Coturnix japonica: one gene and its partner. The main gene of each other region encodes a partner of the protein of the gene in region 2 in a complex. Links are inferred from orthologs where the notes say so. Each region holds a gene or a part of one and is shown on either strand. Other genes may lie near its edges.

What was found.
Region 1: the proteins of PIGT (region 2) and PIGU are in contact, whole or in part, in a cryo-EM structure (PDB 8IMX), measured with the Homo sapiens proteins. The link is inferred for Coturnix japonica from reciprocal best matches to the Homo sapiens genes PIGT and PIGU. Residues at the interface, in NP_057021.2 of Homo sapiens: Tyr361, Gly362, Leu363, Gln364, Lys365, Arg394, Leu395, Tyr396, Val397, His398, Tyr416, Pro418, Ala419, Gln420, Asp421, Arg422, Gln445, Glu447, Leu450, Leu451, Lys452, Trp453, Thr454, Pro518, Thr519, Pro520, Asp521, Phe522, Ser523, Met524; in NP_536724.1 of Homo sapiens: Glu30, Lys42, Arg43, Val45, Glu46, Ser49, Leu50, Leu53, Val55, Ser59, Gly60, Ala61, Val62, Pro265, Asp266, Leu267, Pro269, Leu273, Trp275, Tyr276, Phe277, Phe278, Ala279, Glu280, Met281, Phe282, Glu283, Phe289, Phe293, Asn296.

The regions. Positions count from the first base shown.
Region 1 is NC_029535.1:489,984-499,110, reverse strand, and holds the start of PIGU (phosphatidylinositol glycan anchor biosynthesis class U protein), read right to left. Parts: upstream 5,470-9,127; 5' UTR 5,404-5,469; coding exon 5,274-5,403; intron 3,001-5,273; coding exon 2,936-3,000; intron 1,657-2,935; coding exon 1,597-1,656; intron 653-1,596; coding exon 590-652; intron 1-589. UniProt on the Homo sapiens protein: Component of the glycosylphosphatidylinositol-anchor (GPI-anchor) transamidase (GPI-T) complex that catalyzes the formation of the linkage between a proprotein and a GPI-anchor and participates in GPI anchored protein biosynthesis.
Region 2 is NC_029535.1:4,467,317-4,476,549, reverse strand, and holds the start of PIGT (GPI transamidase component PIG-T), read left to right. Parts: upstream 1-4,529; coding exon 4,530-4,887; intron 4,888-5,109; coding exon 5,110-5,287; intron 5,288-6,022; coding exon 6,023-6,150; intron 6,151-7,181; coding exon 7,182-7,282; intron 7,283-7,416; coding exon 7,417-7,503; intron 7,504-7,831; coding exon 7,832-7,919; intron 7,920-7,994; coding exon 7,995-8,092; intron 8,093-8,310; coding exon 8,311-8,476; intron 8,477-8,578; coding exon 8,579-8,779; intron 8,780-9,233. Other genes in the region: DBNDD2 (dysbindin domain-containing protein 2), read left to right, coding at 848-1,028, 1,587-1,742, 2,210-2,353, 3,074-3,279. UniProt on the Homo sapiens protein: Component of the glycosylphosphatidylinositol-anchor (GPI-anchor) transamidase (GPI-T) complex that catalyzes the formation of the linkage between a proprotein and a GPI-anchor and participates in GPI anchored protein biosynthesis.

The DNA of each region.
Region 1 (9,127 bases), about 4.0 Mb from region 2:
AACTCATGCTGAGTGCAAACACAAGCCATTTTTATCCTGAAGGCAAGTTCAGGATAAAACATTCCATTTTCTAGCTACAAAATACATGGAAGATTGTGGCAGAGGTTGAAAAGGGGACTGCCAAGTCTCAACAAATCAATAGTTCAGCAATTAAATTCCACACACTTCAAACTGCCACAACAACCAAAGGTGAGTTTTCAGTACATTTTACACTCTCACAGCCCTCTTAGGTATCACAACCCTGGAGAAATCTGCATTTCATTGGATACTGTATTCTGAGGAATTGTTAAATTATTTTAATTCCTTTCAGATTAAAGAATTAATACTGCAGCACTCATTATTCACATACTGTGCAATAGCTATGGACACTAATTTGCTTCAGCATGTAATATGCACACAACAGAATTTAAAGTATTTTAGCTGGTTTACCACACTCAGTCCCTGTGTGGTTTTGGTTTTTTTTTTTATCAAACAGATGTGCTCAGATTTACTGCTAAGTAAGTAGATGTGCTTGGTGCAAGTTCTCTCTAGCACAAGATATTTGTACTTGTTTGAGAAGAGGACCAGCAACAATGGCAAGTCAGCTTACCACAACTTTGTTGTAGTCCTGGATGGCCAAGTAAAGGGCAACAGCTGTTAGTACATCAGTTATCTAAAAAAGCAAAGCAAAACACAACAACTGAATGGAGAAAAACATATTGGACGCTACTGCATACTTGAGTAAGGGCTTTGATCTGACTTGATTAATGGATAAAAAAGCTTTAAAAACACCAACTAGCTTGCTGATCTGTACACTGTATTCACACACCACCAATGAACACAGAAGCCATGGGATGTATCAGACATTAATAATTGCAGAACAAGAAAATGGGGAATTAAGGTGAAAGAAACGGCAGGGATAACAGAGAACTCACTGGTATTATCAGTGCACAGGCAACAACAGGGCAGTGCCCAGCTGGCTAAATCCACGTGCCATTAATCCAGAACAACAGTGCCTTGAGCTGCCCCACACTTCACAGGCAGCAGTACTGAAGTATTGGTGCAAGCACAACCCAGATGGCTGCTACCCCTGTTAGAGACCTGCCAGCAGGGAGCTGGGGAGAGAGGCTCCACCAGGTGGTATGTGCAGCCAGCTATATGATTTCTGTCCCTCTGAATTACACAGAACTCACAGATTAGCTTACAACAAGGGACATTTGGATTACTGAACCGTTTGTGTTCTCTTTACGGCCCTGGAGTTTGGCAGTGGGTTTTGACGAGAAACACGGCAATACAGGGATTGACCTGTAAGAGGTAAACTTTGAAATCTGAAACCAAATGTCAACGTTCTGTCCCATCAAGGGAACGTTTAACTAGCCAAGAAATAACAAACAAAAAAGGAAAAAAGAAAAAAAGAAAGAAATCGTAGAGCAAGGGAAAAGCCTGAACTTGGGGTTGTGCATGCAAAGCTGCCTTTATAATCAAACCATGAGGTCAGCAGGAATTTGGACTCCAGGGAGCCTGAAGATCCCTGATTCTTGCAGGAGTGAAAGGAAAGTCATGCTCATCATTTCACAGAATGGGACCCTTCAAGAGGAACTTTCCAGGAGCACTTACCATGAAGACCAATTCAGCATATTCAATCAGGAAGTGAAAGAGATATATTATCAGCGGGGTCTACGAGAGAGCAGAAGAGAAATCTGTGTCAAATAGTGCACATCCCCATTTGGAAAAAGCAACCAGCAATTCAAGGAGAAAAACAGAGTAGCACTGTGAGAGACTGCAAAAGGTAACCTTCCTCAACGCTGTTACTTTGGATAACAAAACCGAAGTGATAACCAAACCACAATTCACTGAATCTTTTTCTTTGCAAAGTTCTCAGTACATTTCATAAAAGCATTTCATAAAAGACACATCAATTTGGAAAATGACATTCTATTCCAACCTTGCCATTCTACCAGCACGGTGGTAGAACCACAACAGAACTACAAACAGAAAAGCCTCAGAAAGTGGGGTTTGTTTTTTGTTTTTTTTTCCTTCCTTGAGAATCTCTTTTTCTTTCAGGTTGTTTGCATGTCTCTTGAAAGCATTTCCTACACAGCTGGTCCCCCTGCTCAGCCTGTTGGTTAGGCAAATTACCTATAGAGTAAAAAGAAGCCATGGGAAAACAAAGCGGTGGTCCTGTTATTCTCATAGCCCTGTAAGGTAACTGCCTCTGGGCTTCTGAATTATTCCTTTGACAGAAAAGCTTAACCTGGAACGAAGGTATTACATTCACAGGGTAAAAAATTCAGGCTTTACTGTCAGAAAACATATTTCTTTTAAAATACTTTGAACATAACATGATGGTATAACTAAGCATTCATATATGCTTCATGGTCTGGGAGAAAATTGTTTCAGGAAGAATTTATTGAAAAGAAACAAATTTTCAGAGATGCCCAAAGTGTGAGACACACCAAGATGACGCTGCGTATAAGCCTACATTCGTATCAATAAGGCCATTCAAGGGCACAAAAACCTCTGGAGGAACAACGAGGTTTCCAAAATGAGGAACAAACACGCTGCATGACTGTGCTCTAACCCAAGATGCTGCTATTCAGCACAACTGCATTACAGCGGCCAGCAGCACTGTCTCTCCCCGCTCCTGCCTCTACTCACAGGAAATGTGGATGTGAACAAAGCATTTTATTTCTTAGAGATTTCCCCTATTCCGGACTCTCCTTATGCACTACAAGCACCACAGTGTCTATCATCCGCTCTCAACTAGTTGTTCTGAGGAATACGAGCTGCATTTCCTCGCTGGTCACTGTGTGGAACTCTCGCACAAACACAACTCTTCATTTTCTGAAATGTTTGGGACAAAACAAGTTCACCAACCTTTGCCAATCCACACGTAATAGGACTAAGAAATGTGCTGCTGGAATATCATGTTTAAAACAAAGCACTGCATACCAACCTCATGAAAAATAGCTCCAGAATATGGTGAGACCCCTAAATCCAGCAGAGCTAATCCTTCAACCACTGAAACACAAAACAAATCCACATTAGAATCCTGCAGTGCTGGAAGAGAAAAACATGTGGTGGCAATGAAACAATAGTTCTCAAAACACCCGAGCTCATAAAAATCTCACACAATCACCATCTGAATTGGAGACACAGAATCTCACACAAGCAGCTATCAGCCAGAATTGAATGCTCTCAAACATCCTGTCATTTGTTTCAGACAACTTGAGATGCTGTAGATGAAATGTTCTGCAGTTACCTGTATTTATGAATCACATGTATTTACTGATTTTAAGTCTCCTATCATGTGACACGTGGTATCTACAGTATCTACACTGGAGGAATAATTCTGACTGAAAACTTGGAAGAGTACAAGAGTTCAGGTGGAAGAGACCTACAGTTATCACTGAGTCCAACAGCCTGGTTCCTTGTGCTGGGCCCAGCAGGGAGGGGCTCACTGCCCCCAGCAGCCATGCAGCACTGCGCTCTGCACTTGCCACTAGAACAGTGCTGATGCAGCACTGGCATTTTGCTCTTGTTGAGTAGCACTGGCACAGCATCAACTCTGCAGCTCCCAGAGGCAGCAGGCCAGGGGTGGGCAAAATGTGGAGTGGACATCTCTGGGACACTGACCTCAGCTGAAAGGATATTGCACATTGTGTGATGCTACACACGGTGACAGGAGCTGGGGAAGGGAAAAAGGAGGGCTCTCATCAAGAAAATGTCTGTTCACCTGAACAGCCACTATGCACATTGAGCACCTGGTTCCCAAGATGTGGTTGAACTCAGCTTGCTGACGGAAATAGGGAACAAGGCACAGTGCTGGCTCCTGCTGCACCTACCGCCAGTGACAGGTCTGGAGGGTCCTGTCTCTCCCCTCATGTCCTTCTGGTGGATGGCTGTGACACTGGCTGCCTTTGGCCGCAGACCCCACCCTCACAGTATCTTTGGTGAACTGTTGGGATGAGTCCCATGACCTCCCTCAGCTCTCTGGGCTCACTCCTGGCCCCACGGACTTGTAAACATTCTGATACAAGTGCTCCCTTTTAGTCATCACAGATGGAAACCAATGTTTCCACAGCATTAAATGCCTCCACCTTTTCCATGCATACTCATTAAGTGACCATCTTCATCACGTATCAGTCCAGCATTTTCTTTAGATCTCCTCTTGCTGCTGATAAACATAAAAGCCTTTCAGTTGTCTGACACAACACCGGCCAACATCACCTCAAGCTGAGCTTTGTTCTTCCTCATTTTCTCTCTGCAGATGTGAACCGCAGCTCTGTATTCTCCCTGTGAAGCCAAACTTTTTCCCAGAGGTTGTGTACTTTCTCTTCCTGCCCTGTTCCAGGAGCCCCGTTCAGGCAGGCTGCTCCTGCTGCACCTCCCTGACTTGTCACACAGTGGGACTGCCTGCACCTGTGTTTTTAAAAGGTGGGACTTGAGGGGCACCCAGCTCTGGTCGGCACCTGGGCCCTCAAGAGTGGATTCTCAGGAGACACTGCTAACTAACTATGTGAGAAGCTCCATATACAGTGTGATTTGAACCATGCTGCCTTGTTACATGTAGAGGCCTCAAACGAACAAAACTAGATGGAGAAATGAAACAGATAACAGGAAGCAACCAGAGGCTTTTGAATCAGCAGTGTGCTCAAGAAGCAGATTCCACTTCTACCCTGAAGTTACCCTTCAGCCCAGGCCTCTTCCTGGCTGGAGGCACAGCCTGAAGCTCTAAAGTGGGATTTAGAAGGAATCCATTGCTGCAAGGGTATCCTGTGGGGCTGTGTTTTGAACCTGTGAAGCACCTTATTAATTATCAAATGCATTCATGCTTTCTGGCCTTTATTACACTGTGTGACTGTGTTCTGCCCCAAACCTGCAGTGATTGCACCTGCACGGTACCCAGGTATTATGTTCCCATAGAGCAATCTGTGCTTCGCAGCGGGCTCAGGTGCCACGATGAAGCATGTCACAGAGCAGCCCTGGTTACACCCCGTGTCTGTGCACAGGATCTGGACCCGGTGTCGGTAACAACGTGAGGCCACGAGCGAGCACAAAATGGAACACGAGCAGCAGTGCCGGAGCAGCGCGGCTCACGGCAGCACAGCGCCCGGGGTCACAGCGCGACGGGAGCGACTCGACACCGCCGCCGACGGCCCCTCACACCCCGGCGCAATGCGGACCGCCCTGCCCCGCTCCGAGCTCCGGGCCCCGCTTCCCGAGAGGCGCCCGCGGAGCCCGAGAGGCCTCGGCCCGTTGATCCGCCCTTGGAGCCCGGCGCGGGGCCTCACCTCGCTTCCAGGCGTTCAGCGGCGACGCCACCTCGACCCGCTCCGCGATGAAGGCGGCGAGGCTGGAGCGGTACAGCGCGGCGCGCACCGTCACGGCCGCCAGCACCGCCAGCACCAGCGGAGCCGCCATCCTCGCGGGCACACGCCGGCCCGACGCCGCCTGTAGTTCGCGGGCGGTGCCGGACAACGGGGCGGCAATGCGGCGGCACGGCCGGGCGGACTACGCGTCCCACAAGGAACCGCGACGCCGCCGCTCCCGACAGCGCCCGGGAACTACGGCGAGTCCGGGGAACCGCTGCTCGGCGCGCGGACGCTGCCCGGCCGGCTGTGCTGGGGCCGCTGAGCCGGGCGGGCCTTCGCCGGAGCTGTGCCAAACAGAACGTTGCTTCTGGCATAGCGATACCAGGCCGAGGAGATGCACCCGAGGAATCAATACCGACAAGCTGCGGCTCGTGGCCCAGCTTAAAGAACAGAAGATCTGCGTTCTGCTTGAGTAGCATCGGGAAACGTATTGGGGCGGATCGGTTCTGCGGGAGGAACGGCGGGCAGAGGGGGAGTTAAAGAGTGGGCCGGGAGTGCTCAGCCAGGAGGGAACGAGACGCTGTGCCGGGCAGTAGGAAAGAGGAGCTGCTATGTCGTTCTGGTCAGGTGTGTCTGCAGGAAGGAGGGTCAGGAGAGCGGCTGTGAGCTGTGAGCTGGGTGAGGGAGGCTCTGGTGTGAGAGTGATTGAGACGTACTACGTACAAAGGGAGCCTGGACCTGTGATCCCGTTACCCTGCGAGGGGCACGGCCACAGAAGGGTGAAGTGTTAGGCCTGGGTGGAGAAAGAAGTGTGGGGAGTTACGGGGAGTGATAATGCTGGGCCTCGGGAGAGGGGAGGAAAAGCCCCAGAAAATGTTCCCCTGGACAGCCAGGGGATGCAGAGATTCGTGTGAAAGGACATCAGAAGGGGAAGCTGGTCCTTGTCCTAGGGAATCTACTAGCAGATAAAGGTGCCCAAGAAGCACCCTTGCAGCCACAAGTCACAGTGAATCATTTCACACTTGAGATACTCTCTCCTCCAGAAAGATGGGGAGGCTCTTAAAGGGTTGGGAGCAAAGGAGTCTGAAGGAAGGTGGATACTCCCTGATGGAAGAGAGGTGCTGAATAAAAAAGTGATGAGGGAAATTGTAGCCATCCTTACATCCAGGAAGTCACTGGGGGGTTCAGATGATGCGTGGTGCTGTACTGCTAAAGTATGGGTGTATAGACATTTTTACAGTAGCCAAACAAGTCTGTGAGAGGTGTGTGGTTAGTAAAACATATTCATAAGAAAGCTCTTTGGAACCAACCCAGGGCCATTTTAAAGACCATTCCAAAGTGTTCAGGTCAACTTCATGCCCCTGGTGGACCATGGAATTCTGTGCCCCATGGCACCCCGTCATCATCAGTGTGGTGGGCTACCACCTATAATGGATGGATTTACTCAACAAGTTCAACTATACCGAAGCTTTGAAAAATCAAGTCAGTGTATTTTAAGGGGTTGCTCAGCCAAATTGCCAGCCCCTGCAGTGTAATCCAGTAATGATAATGATTAGAAAGGCTGATAAATTTTTCAGCCACACTTATAGTTTCGGAGCAGATGGGACTGGTAATGACCCAGTGGCGAGATTCAGAACAGCAGAGGAACCACAACCCAATGTTACTAACATTATGTGGGAGGAGAAAGACCTTGCAGAAAGGGAGAGGAGTCATCTGGATTACCCTATTGTAATTGTTAAGGAAATGAAAGATCTCTGACAGATGTTTGAGGTAGAAATGGGATATGGGGACCTGAATGCCTGGATAGAATGGGTAAAATGTACCATCCAGAGTCTCAGTCATAGCAAGTGTTATGCTTGCGGCTCGGGGCACCCAACTGCCCGGGTGGTACCTAAAGGAATCCCTGATGAACATAAAGTAAAGAACCAGATCACAGCCAGGTTTGAGTCTTCTCTATTTTGGTAGATAACTATTAATAAGAATGTAGCCTGGATCAATTATATTTACCATAATCAGCAGGGCTTCGTAAATTATAGAAGGGATTGCCTAACTATTAAGTGCCACTGGTAGGATGACATGGGAAAATAGGATAGTGTTAGACATGATGTTGGCTGAAAAGGGTCAAGTATGTGTAAATGATGGGCATTCACTATTTCACCTTTATACCCAATAATACAGCCCCAAATTGCACCATAGCCTGGGCACTTACTTCACTTACTAGGTGGTTCAGTAAATGGAAGGGAGTGCTGGTATCAGTACTTACATCTTTAATTGTAATAGCAGGAGTTCTGACAGCAGCCAGCTGTTGTATTATCCCCTGTGTTAGAGGGTTGGTCCAGCATTTAATCAAAACCATCCCATCTAAGCAGATGCTGTAGGGCTACCACTATATTCAGACAAGGCATAGGCTGTAAGGGAAGATGTAGGAGATGGTGGTGATTGGGATGATGTGTCTTCAAAAGAGACAATTGTGTAAACAGAAAGGGGGAACTGTGGGAAAGGGAATGTTGTTTTCTCAGAATGACACCAGAAAGAAGCTTGTGCAACCAAAGAGATGTACCTGAGGACTCATAATGCTGACAAGTTCCTGCTTGTGGCTGAGCTTAAAGAATAGAAGGTCTGCTGCATTCTTGAGTAACATCAGGAAATGTACTGGAGCAGATCTGTTCTGTAGGATGAATGGTAGTCAGAGGGCAGGGTTAACTACGAGAGGGTTATCTCAGTGTACCATAACAGGGAAAAGCTAAACACTAGTAGGAGGGGAACAGGGAGGAGGTAACCAAGCAGTAAACAGGGGTGGGACATGTAATAAGAAAATGAGAAGTATGGGATAGGCTGTAAGCCCTGGAGTGCTCAGCCAGTGAGGAAATGAGAACTTGTGCAGGGCAGTAGGAAATAGAAGCTGTTGTGTCTTTCCAATCAAGTGTGCCTGCCCTGTTGGTTATCTGCTCTTGCAATAGCGTAGAGTAAAATGTGATTGATAACAAATTCCACTTGAGTCTGGACTATTGGGCACCAGCATTTCTCACAGAGCCTCTGGCATGGAGCCTGCCCCAGCTCCTCATGGGGAAAGGCTGCTCCTGGCACCTGGTGCAGGTGCTCCGCTTCGCACCCTGTGCCCTGTACCCATTCCCTACCACCCACCTGGGAAGAGCCAGGAACTATCTCCTCCATGGTTGCCTCCAAGGGGTTGCTGTGCTGCCATGATGCCATCTCTCCTCCTGTTGTGACCATGTCTGAGCTCAGTGTGGTGTTGGTGGCCCTGCACTGAGCTCAGCCAGCTGTGCTGCAGAACATTGCACTGCACTTTCTGGGTTCACGATGGCAGTGGGTGGTTGTGGTATCAGCAGGATCATCAGTCTCCAGTGCTTACAACTTCCAGGCAGACTTTAGCACACTGCCTTCTCTGTTCATTCTTTGCTTTCCTCAGCCTGCATGGCGACTGTTTTGCTGTCCGCATCCATAGCAACATCTGCCTCCCTTTCACACAAACTCTCACAAAGCAGGTTCTACAACCCTTGGTCCAGAGTGATGAAGATTGGAAGGAAGACCTGTTCGTGTCTTAAAAAAATGACGAATAGAATGACAGCACACACTTCATATCATAATCTATCATTACAACATTACAACCCTTACTTTCCTGTAAGAAACATAATGGATTTACTGACACTATGAGGCTGCCACTGGGGAGAGTTTGTTAATGTCCAGGCCACAGTGTTTGCATTGGATCCATGCAACTTCTGCACCAGATGGAATGGAGAAGTCTGAATGTCTCGTGGACGTAGTTCCTAAAGGCCCCAGTAGCCCAGTGTACTCCATCCCTATGATTTGCT
Region 2 (9,233 bases):
TGGCAGAGACAGGACAGGACTGTCTCTAACAGCTGTGTAGGATCAGCTCTGTAATCAGTGCCATGGTCAGTCAGTCCCTTCCTTGTCTCTGGCTTTCTTACTGTTTGCTTGGCCCTACTGCAGGTGGCAAGGCAAAAAACTCCCTTGTGAAGCAGCAGCACTGAGCTGCAGCTGTGAAAGTTTAACTTGAACCGTGCTTTTGCCATCACAGCTATCAACCTGGGCTCTACACCTGCATAGATGCCCAGCGGTCAGACACAGCAAAGCAAAGGCTCCTTCAGGATTGCTGCCCTGAGCATTGCCTTGCTGAGGACCACAGCTGCTTCTAGAAAGCGTGTGATGACCAGGCCTGAGTGCTCTGTGCTGAAGAGCACTGAAGGATGCCCCAGAGAATGGCGTGCTGAGGGCACAGAAGCCCTCAAAGAGTTCTGAGATGATGTGACATTTATCCCCAGAATAACACACCAGGCCCACCACCTCCATCCAGTCTGGGTCCTGTGGCACTAAGCGCTGCTGACAGCCACCCGCTGTCCCTGTCCCTGCTGCTGCCAGACAGGGAGGGGATGCTGGGCACTGCCTGCTGCTTGATTCCCTTCACCCCACCCCGAGGAGTGGAGGGTTTGGGCTGTGCTCAGACAGAGCAGGGGATGTTTGTTTGGTTTCCTTGGTTACTGCACTGCCTGCTCCAGTAATCACATTTTCCTTGTGCTGGCTGGGCCAAGAGCTGCAGGGAGGAAATCTGGAACAACTGAGGTCAAACACCAGCCTGGGAACAGCCAGGGCCACTGGCCATGGCTCATCTGTGACATTTGGGTCCTTACCATTGTGGGTACCCAACCCGAAAGGGATGTACCAGGTCCTGGGATGCAGCAACAGCTCCCTGCTGCTTTCCTTCAACAACTGCCCAAGGGCTTCTTCACTCCCGCGTGAGCCAGGAACACAGGCACCAACGCTGAACTGCAGGAGGAATTACAGGAATGAAAATGTTTGTGCAGGCAGAAGCCAAGCTGGCTGTGCAAGTAGGGGATGTGAGTGGGGGAGCCTGCGAGCGTGGGTGCGGCTGTATTTATGGCAACGGTGGCAGCAGGGGGTGGCAGCGGGAGGGAGCGTGTGCAGGGGTGACAAGGCTGCTAATGCCCTTTATTCTTTATGCATTCCTTAGCCCAGGAAGCCTGGAGCACTAACGCCAATTCTCATCCTAGGGAGTTCCCCCTGCATGTTAGTGTTCACAGGCAACACTGATTTGTAGCAAGCAAGATAAATTTTAAGTACGTACTTAAAATGACTGATCTCACATCCAAACTCTTTCCCCCCACGATAATTAACTTCAGCAGCAGTGAAAGCAGCACATGAGCTCCCAGCTCCTGGCTTCCCAACACTCAGAAGTGAGAGCCGAGGCTCCAGCACAGCAAGTGCCACTGCCACTCTAGCACATAACAGTCATTCATAGTGACCAGATCAACGTGCACCAGTAAAGCAGAGCAGAGAGAACCACCTACCCAGGGCACTGCAGTGCTGGGTGAGCAGGCACGGGCAGAAGGGCTTGTCAGCCTGCCTGGCTTGACCCTCCTTGCCTTCCTCTCCAGACATGGAGCCGGGGCAGCGCAGCCTGGATGCGGAGCAGATGCAGCAGCAGCAGCAGTTGAAACTACGGGAGCGGCAGAAATTCTTTGAGGAGGTTTTCCAGCATGAAGTGGATTTCTACTTCCCCGTGTCTCACCTGCAGCTGGAGCATCGGAGACGTAAGTGCTGTGGGTGGTGGAGCAGGGCTAGACATGCTTCAGAGATCTGGCACAAGTTAGAGATTGGCGGAATGTCCCCAGTCTAATGGCAGCCAAGGACATGCATGTCCTGCAAGGAGACAGGGCCACACACGCTGTGTGTGGGTGTGCATATGGATTACTCACACCACTTAACAAAGGCACTGAACTGGGGTACCCAGGCTGGCTACCTGCATAGTCACTGGCTCCTCCAGGCAGCAGTTTGGAGCTGAAGCAAGGATTACAGTGACAGCAGGTTTTTATAGGGGATGTTTTAAGCAAATGTGATGTTCATGTGACCTCGTACCAGCAGGTGCAATCTGGTTCTCCACTGCAAGGCTGGCCTCCCATTTTGGGGTTCTTCCTGAAGCCCATGGTTCAGATAGACTTGTATGGTGCCCTTTGCCTGACACTAGTACTCACCTTTTTGCTGACCTCTGTCTCTGCAGCCCCCTTGGGGAGCATTTCCTCGATGGAGGTGAATGTGGACGTGCTGGAGCAGATGGACATGATGGACCTGTCAGACCAGGACACTGTGGATGTGTTTCTGGCCTGTGGGACAGAGGAGAGCAGCGTTTCCGGGCCCCTGACAGGTATGAGCAGTCTGAGCCCTTTGTGGTTCAGAGCAGGAGCTCTTCCTGCCTCCAGCATCTCCACCAGCTTCTTCTTCAGCCCTGGTCACCTTGACCTGTCCCAGTGCTCCATGTACGTGTGCACATACACACATCCTCCATACAAAGACAGTCACTTGGTGCTGGTTACCATGAGGTTGGCAAGGCCTCACCCTGGGCCACTATCCCATGCCACTATGCACCTCCACTGCCCAGAGATACAGACCCTGTAAATATGTTGCACTGAAGAAGACAAGAGAGCCCAGGCACAGAGAGCCCCATGAGCCAGCAGCAAAGCTGGGCACAAGTCCCACAGGGAAAGCCCCGCGTGCCAGCATTTTCCTCCCCACGCACATGTACTGTAGCGAGTCACCAAGGCCAAGCCAGACATTTCCCCAGCACATCCTGTGACTGCAGCTGATGGCCTCACACAGCATGGCTCTGAGCCGTGCTTCTCACAAGACTGAGAAGGCTCTGCTACCAAAAATGGGGAAGGAATGCAAGGCACAGCCCAGAGCCAAGCTTGGGGGGAGCGGTTACAGCAGCCACACAGCTCCCATTGCACCCCAAAGTGGGGTGAAGGAGAAAATGTAGCTTACAGAGGAATAATAAGTGGGGGTGTGGGGGGCTATCTTTAAAGTTTCAGGGGGATGAAGCCTCCAGAAGCCTTTTTCTTCCTTCTCTTACCTCTCTCTCCTCCAGGAGCAGATGCCAGCCAGTGCCAAGAGGAAATCACCCTGCAAGTGCCCAGTGCAGCTGAGACCAAGTCACGCATTTCCTCCACATCCTCTGTCTCTACGGATCCCAACAGCCTGGACACCAGCGAGGAAGGGGCTGAGACCCCTGTGGTGCAGTCAGATGAGGAGGACCTGCAGGAGGACAGTCCTAAAGAGCTAGCAAGAAGCTAGCAGCCAGCTCTGCCCTGCTCCCAGCCTCTTCTGGATGGACCAGCCAGCCTGGAGGAAGGAAAGCTGCTGGCACTCAGTAAACCCCATCCTGGACTGCTGCCTTGCCAGAGGGGAGATGGTTTTCCCTCCTCTCCCTCTGCAGGTTCTCCTGGCATCCAAGGCAGAAGCAAAGGGGTATTGTAGGCTCCCAAAACTAACTCTTCAGGCTTTGCTGCTAACACTTCCTTGCTTCATTCCCCTCAAATGCTCAACATCCCACAGCCCCACCATTCCCAGAAACCATCCCTTGGGATCCCAGCTCCCATTGTCCCACTGACAAGCACCCTATCCAGACAAGCATTTAACAAAGGCATACAGAGAAATAACACTCCTATCTAACCAAGCAGTGGGTGTGTGTGTTATTGGGAGAAAACAGCACTGGGATGAAGGTTAGGTGGGGATTGCAGGAGGGAAAAAGTTATAAAGCAAGTGTGCTGGGAGTGAAACTTGGGAGCAAACTAATGCAGTTCTCCTGCTACATACCTCAGCTCCAGCACAGGGTGAAGCCTTGTAAGCAGGGAGCAGGCAGCACAGACCTCTGTTTGCTCTGCAAAGGTCACGCATGGGCAGGTCACCATGCAGTGCTGCATCCACAGGGCAAGCAGCCAGAGGCTGCAGCATGGCACAGCTGGCCTCAAGGTTTGCTGGTGACCTGTAACAACCAGGATGATTTCCCATGCAAACTGGCTGACAGAATCCATCAGCACACACAGCATCAGCTGCTGCTGCCCCTCCAGCACAGCACACGAGCGTCATCCTGGCTGGAGGCCGCTTTGGAGGAGTGCAGGAGGAGCCATTGCAGTGGAGCCCTGTTACAACTTGCCTCACAGGACAAGCAAGGCCCACTACCTCTATCAGCACATTCAGGCTTAGGAAAGTGTTGTCACTGCCCCAGCTGCATCAGCAGAGCCACAGTCACCCCACAAGTGAAAAAGCCTGGAGATAAACAACAGGGACCTGGGAACACTGTGTACTCACTCAGCTCTTGCCATGCTGCAGGCAGGCAGCCCTGCATGGAGGGCAACGCATCCCTGGGTATGAGGAGCTCCATCACAGCCCTGTCCCAGTATGACCTTCCTCCTGATAGTGTGCCCATACCCAAAGGAACCTGCTGCTGCAGGATGGTGATATCACATGGAGAACAGAAAGCAGGGGGGTATCCTAGGAGAGGGAGCTGTAAGCAGGACGTGAGGCAATGCTGGGCTCCACGCATGGCAGGAGCAAAGAGAGCCCCATATGGTGCCGTCCCTGCAGGAGCCCACAACAACTCCCTGTTCTACCCGGGTCTGGCACAGCTCGACCCACAACCGAACCGCTCCCAGGCCGCACCCCCACAGCGACGCCGGAAGTGGGAGCCATTGGGCGGCCGGATCGGAAGCGGAAGAGGGTGGGCGGGGTGGGCGGCCATGCTGGCGCTGTGGCTGGTGCTGCTGGGGCTGGGGTTGGGGCGGGGGGTGACGCGGGTCGCGCTGCGGGAGGAGCTGCTGCTGCGGCCGCTGCCCGGGGGGGACGTGGCCGCCGTGTTCCAGTTCCGCACGCGCTGGGACGCCGACCTGCAGCAGGGGGCAGGTAGGGCGGCGTGGTGACGTCGGAGATGCAGGTGTGACGTCACGTCGGAGGGCTGTGGTGACGTCATGGGGTCGAGGGTGGTGTCGTGATACGGGAACGGGGCTGCGGGACTGCATGGGGTTGGTAACGTCAGCGGGCGGAGACGTCAGCAGACGGAGCTGTGACGTCAGCAGGCGGAGCTGTGACGTCACGGCACTGACACCCCCCACCCCCCCCCGGTAGTCTCTCACTACAGGCTCTTCCCGAAGGCGCTGGGGCAGCTGGTGGCAGCACACGGTGTGCGGGAGCTGCACCTCGCCCTGACCCAGGGCTTCTGGAGTACCCAGAGCTGGGGGCAGCCGCCCCTGGGAGCCCCTGCTGGCGCTGAGCTCTGGGTCTGGTTCCAGGACACCGTCCCTGAGTACGTACATCTGGCACCGCTGCACCTATGGGGCTGTAGCCTGGTGGGATGCGGGGCTGCAGCTGGAGGACAGCATGGCATCCATCCCACCCACAGCCTCCTTTCTTCAGTGGCCCTGCTTACTGGGGCTTGCCATTAGCTAGAAAGGGTTTGACGTCAGCTGGAGTGAAGGGCCTGTAAGAGAGGAGCAGCAGAGTGGACTTGTGCTTAGTCTGAAGAGCAGAGTGGTGCAGAGAGAGAAAGCTTTTGTTCACTCAAGAAACAATTCCCTCTTGTCTCTGTGATGACAAAGCTCTGGCTGTGGTGGCAGTTACACCCCAAGCTCTCACCCATGACTCACTTCCTTTGACTCCTATACACTATCTGCCACCATTCCCTGTCTAATGTTCCCTCTAGCTTGGCTGCAGCAGCTTAGTGTGGATTCACAGAGCTTTCTGTCCTGCCATCCCACTGAAAGCTGCCTTAAGTTGCCTCATCCAGACTCCATCACTTGCTCCCTGCTCCCCCAGCCTTGCCTACCACTCACTGCCAGCCCAAGGACTACCCCTGCAATGAACACCCACATCTAATGTGTTAGAACAAAGCACTGGGAGGGGTGGAGGGTGAGTGACCAACAACCTGAAAGCTCCTGAAAACCATTGTGGTCACTGCAGTATGTTATTGGATGTTACTGAATTAACACCTGTTATTTTGAGGCTCCAAGCTAATGAGTAATATTTGTCTGTTCTCACACAGTGTTGACAAAGCCTGGAAAGAACTGAGTAACATCCTCTCGGGAATATTCTGTGCTTCTCTGAACTTTATTGACTCCACCAACACAGTCACTCCAACAGCGTCCTTCAAACCCCTGGGTGTAGCCAATGGTGAGCCTGACCCACACATCTGAAGGGCTGGCTTCGTGCACTGACTCTTGTCCCTAGCCTTAGTTCTACCACCCCCGTGCCACTGGGGCAGCTGGGTGCAGGTCCTGCAGGGACTCCTGTGTTAGCAATGTTTTTTCCTGAGTTGATGTCACTGTGATGAGATTTCCCTAGAAAGGGAAATCCTGTGTCCATGAACAAATACCAGAGAGGCTGGTGCTGTTCTGTCTCACTCAGGAGAACAAGTGTTCTCACTCTGTTTCCTGTCTGCTAACCTTACTCCAGCAGCTGGCAGCACCCTATCTGAATACAGGCGTGTACAGCAGGGATTGTTAACCTGCTGGAAGCATTTTCTATCCCTGCTATTGAAGCTTATATTTGTGCACAGGAAACCCACAAGAAATACGTGGCAGGTGCTTGCAAGCCCTTAACTATCTCTAAAAAGTATTTTAGAAAGCATCCAGTGAGAACTGCAGGATTTAAGGAACTCTGAAAAAAGAATCTGTGAAGAGATACCCTAAGAGAGACCTTCAGTCTTTCCAAATCACTCTAAACAAGTAGGATCTATTCCTAATGGAGATTGTGGCATTTTAGGCACCCTTAGAGGGTGCTGTACTCTGGAGTACACTAGAAAATGGAACTGGTGTGCTTCTGCAGCAGAACCATAGAATCATTAAGGTTGGAAAAGACCTCTAAGATCATCTAGTCCAACCATCCACCCACCACTGATACTGCCCACTAAACCATGTCCCTGAGTGCTACATTAAACACTTCCAGGGATGTGGACTCCACCACTTCTCTGTGCAACCTGTTCCAATGCTTGACTACTCTTTCAGAGAAGAAATTCTTCCTAATATCCAAACTGAACCTCCCTTGGCACAACTTGAGGCCATTTCCTGTTATTTTGATGTTACCTGGGAGAAGAATCTGACCCCCAGCTCTTAGGGAGTTACAGAGAGTGAAAAGTTCACCCCTGAGCCTCCACTTCTCCAGGCTAAACAGTCCCAGACTGTTAACTCTCCACTTCCCTACAGGGACAGACCACCGTTTCCTGCGCTATGCTGTCCTGCCCCGGGAGGTGGTCTGCACAGAGAACCTCACACCTTGGAAGAAGCTGTTGCCATGTGGCTCAAAGGTAATGGCAAGTTTCTGCTCCTGCATTGGGCTACACTCTGTGGAGCTAGATGCAGTCCAGCAATGTGCACAAGGAAGTCTCAAAGCCTTGCAGAGAGAAGACCATGGACTGAGTTTTTCCTCTTCCCCTTGCAGGCTGGTCTGGCTGTGCTGCTCAAGGCTGAGCGGTTGTTCCACAGCAGCTACCACTCGCAGGCAGTGCACATCCGCCCCATCTGCCGGGTAAGCATCAAACTCAGCTGCTCCCCCCTCCTTGCTCCAGCAGATGGGCAGAGCAGGGTGTCTTGTGGCTACTTGGTGCTCTACAAAATGAGGAGAATTGAATTTTAGGAAGCTTTCTCCAGTGCTGAGTTGTAGGAGGCTTTATCACTTCCAAGGAGATGATAAACTGGTAGCCTTGTTGTTGTGACTCTGCTCAGTGACGTGATTTTGGTCACCTCTCCTGCACTATCTCACATGTTTTCTAGTCTCATGAGTGCTCTGATGGGACTCTTGCAGTCCTCCTGTCTTGCCTTTCCAGAAGGTGTGATCGGAGCTGTCTCTTCTACAGGATGCTTCCTGCCTGGCTGTTTCCTGGGAGCTCAGGCAGACACTCACTGTGGTCTTTGACAGCTTTACAAGTGGCCAAGGAAAGAAAGGTAAGCTCAGCACCACTATGCTGTGCTCCCTGCAGTCCACCTTAAGCCATCCATCACTGGATTTGCCTCCCACAGATTGGTCCCTATTTAAGATGTTCTCTCGCACCCTTACCGACGCGTGTCCTCTGGCATCAGAGAGCAAGGTCTACGTTGACATCTCTCCTAAGAACAAGGTAACACCCATGGATGAGGGAGCATCCTGCTTTCTCAGTTCAGGGGCACTGGAGCATCCTTGCCTCCTACATCAGGATCTGAGTTTAGAGGTGTCAGCAAGCATGTTGAACTGGTCACTGGGTGGGAGAGCTCAGGGCTGGCTGCTTCTGAGTGGGGCTTTGCTTAGCACCACAATATATTTCAAGGGGAACTTTTCATGATCCACTTGCTTTCTCAGGAAAAAGAGTTACTGGAAGTGACCCCCACACCAACATCTGTACACGAAGCAATTGTCCAAGGAGACAAGACAACCTATGCAGTCTATGACCTGCTCAGCCCTGTGCTCTTCAATACATCTCGCAGCCTCAACGTGCAGCTGAAGTGGAAGCGGCCTGAAGACAGCTGTAAGCTACCTGTGTTATCCCCTCTGCACTGCTGAACAGGGCTCCAGGCACAAATGCTCCTGCCACTGGCCTCTCATTCCTCTTTCCTTTTCCTTTCTGCAGTGGAACTGTCAACACCCATAATGCACGCTCAGCGCTATGTAAGTGGATATGGGCTGCAGACTGGAGAAATCAGCACCCTCATCTACAACACTCACCCATACCGTGCGTTCCCTGTGATCCTGCTGGAGACTGTGCCATGGTATCTGCGACTCTATGTGCACACTTTGACTATCATAACTAAGGGAAAAGAAAACAAGCCAAGTAAGTAGACATTCCTGGCAGCATATTCCATCTGAATCCCTTGGCACAAGCAGCACATTCCAGAGATGGTTTAGTTCCCTCCCTTGGACCCAGCAATCACTGGGTAACAGGCCTGGGAAATTAAACATCTTAGGATGTTTTCCCAGCCTTCAGTCTACTACTCAAGATTTGCCTTTAATAAGTCTGTTCTATAGAGTCACGTGGACGGTGTTTCATAATCCAGAACAGTGCTGAACCAAAGCAAATTGGTTTGGGTAGTAAAAGAATCCTAATTTAAAATTGTTGACTAGATCACATTATCTTTCTTTTTGAACATTGACTTTGATGGGTCATCGTTGCTGTAGACCAGACAGATTTAGTTTTAATGCATTTTTTGTTACCTGTGCATCTTCACTTGCCCAGAAGAACAACTCTTCCCAGGACAGGGGAAGCAAAATTACCCACTTTGTGGAGG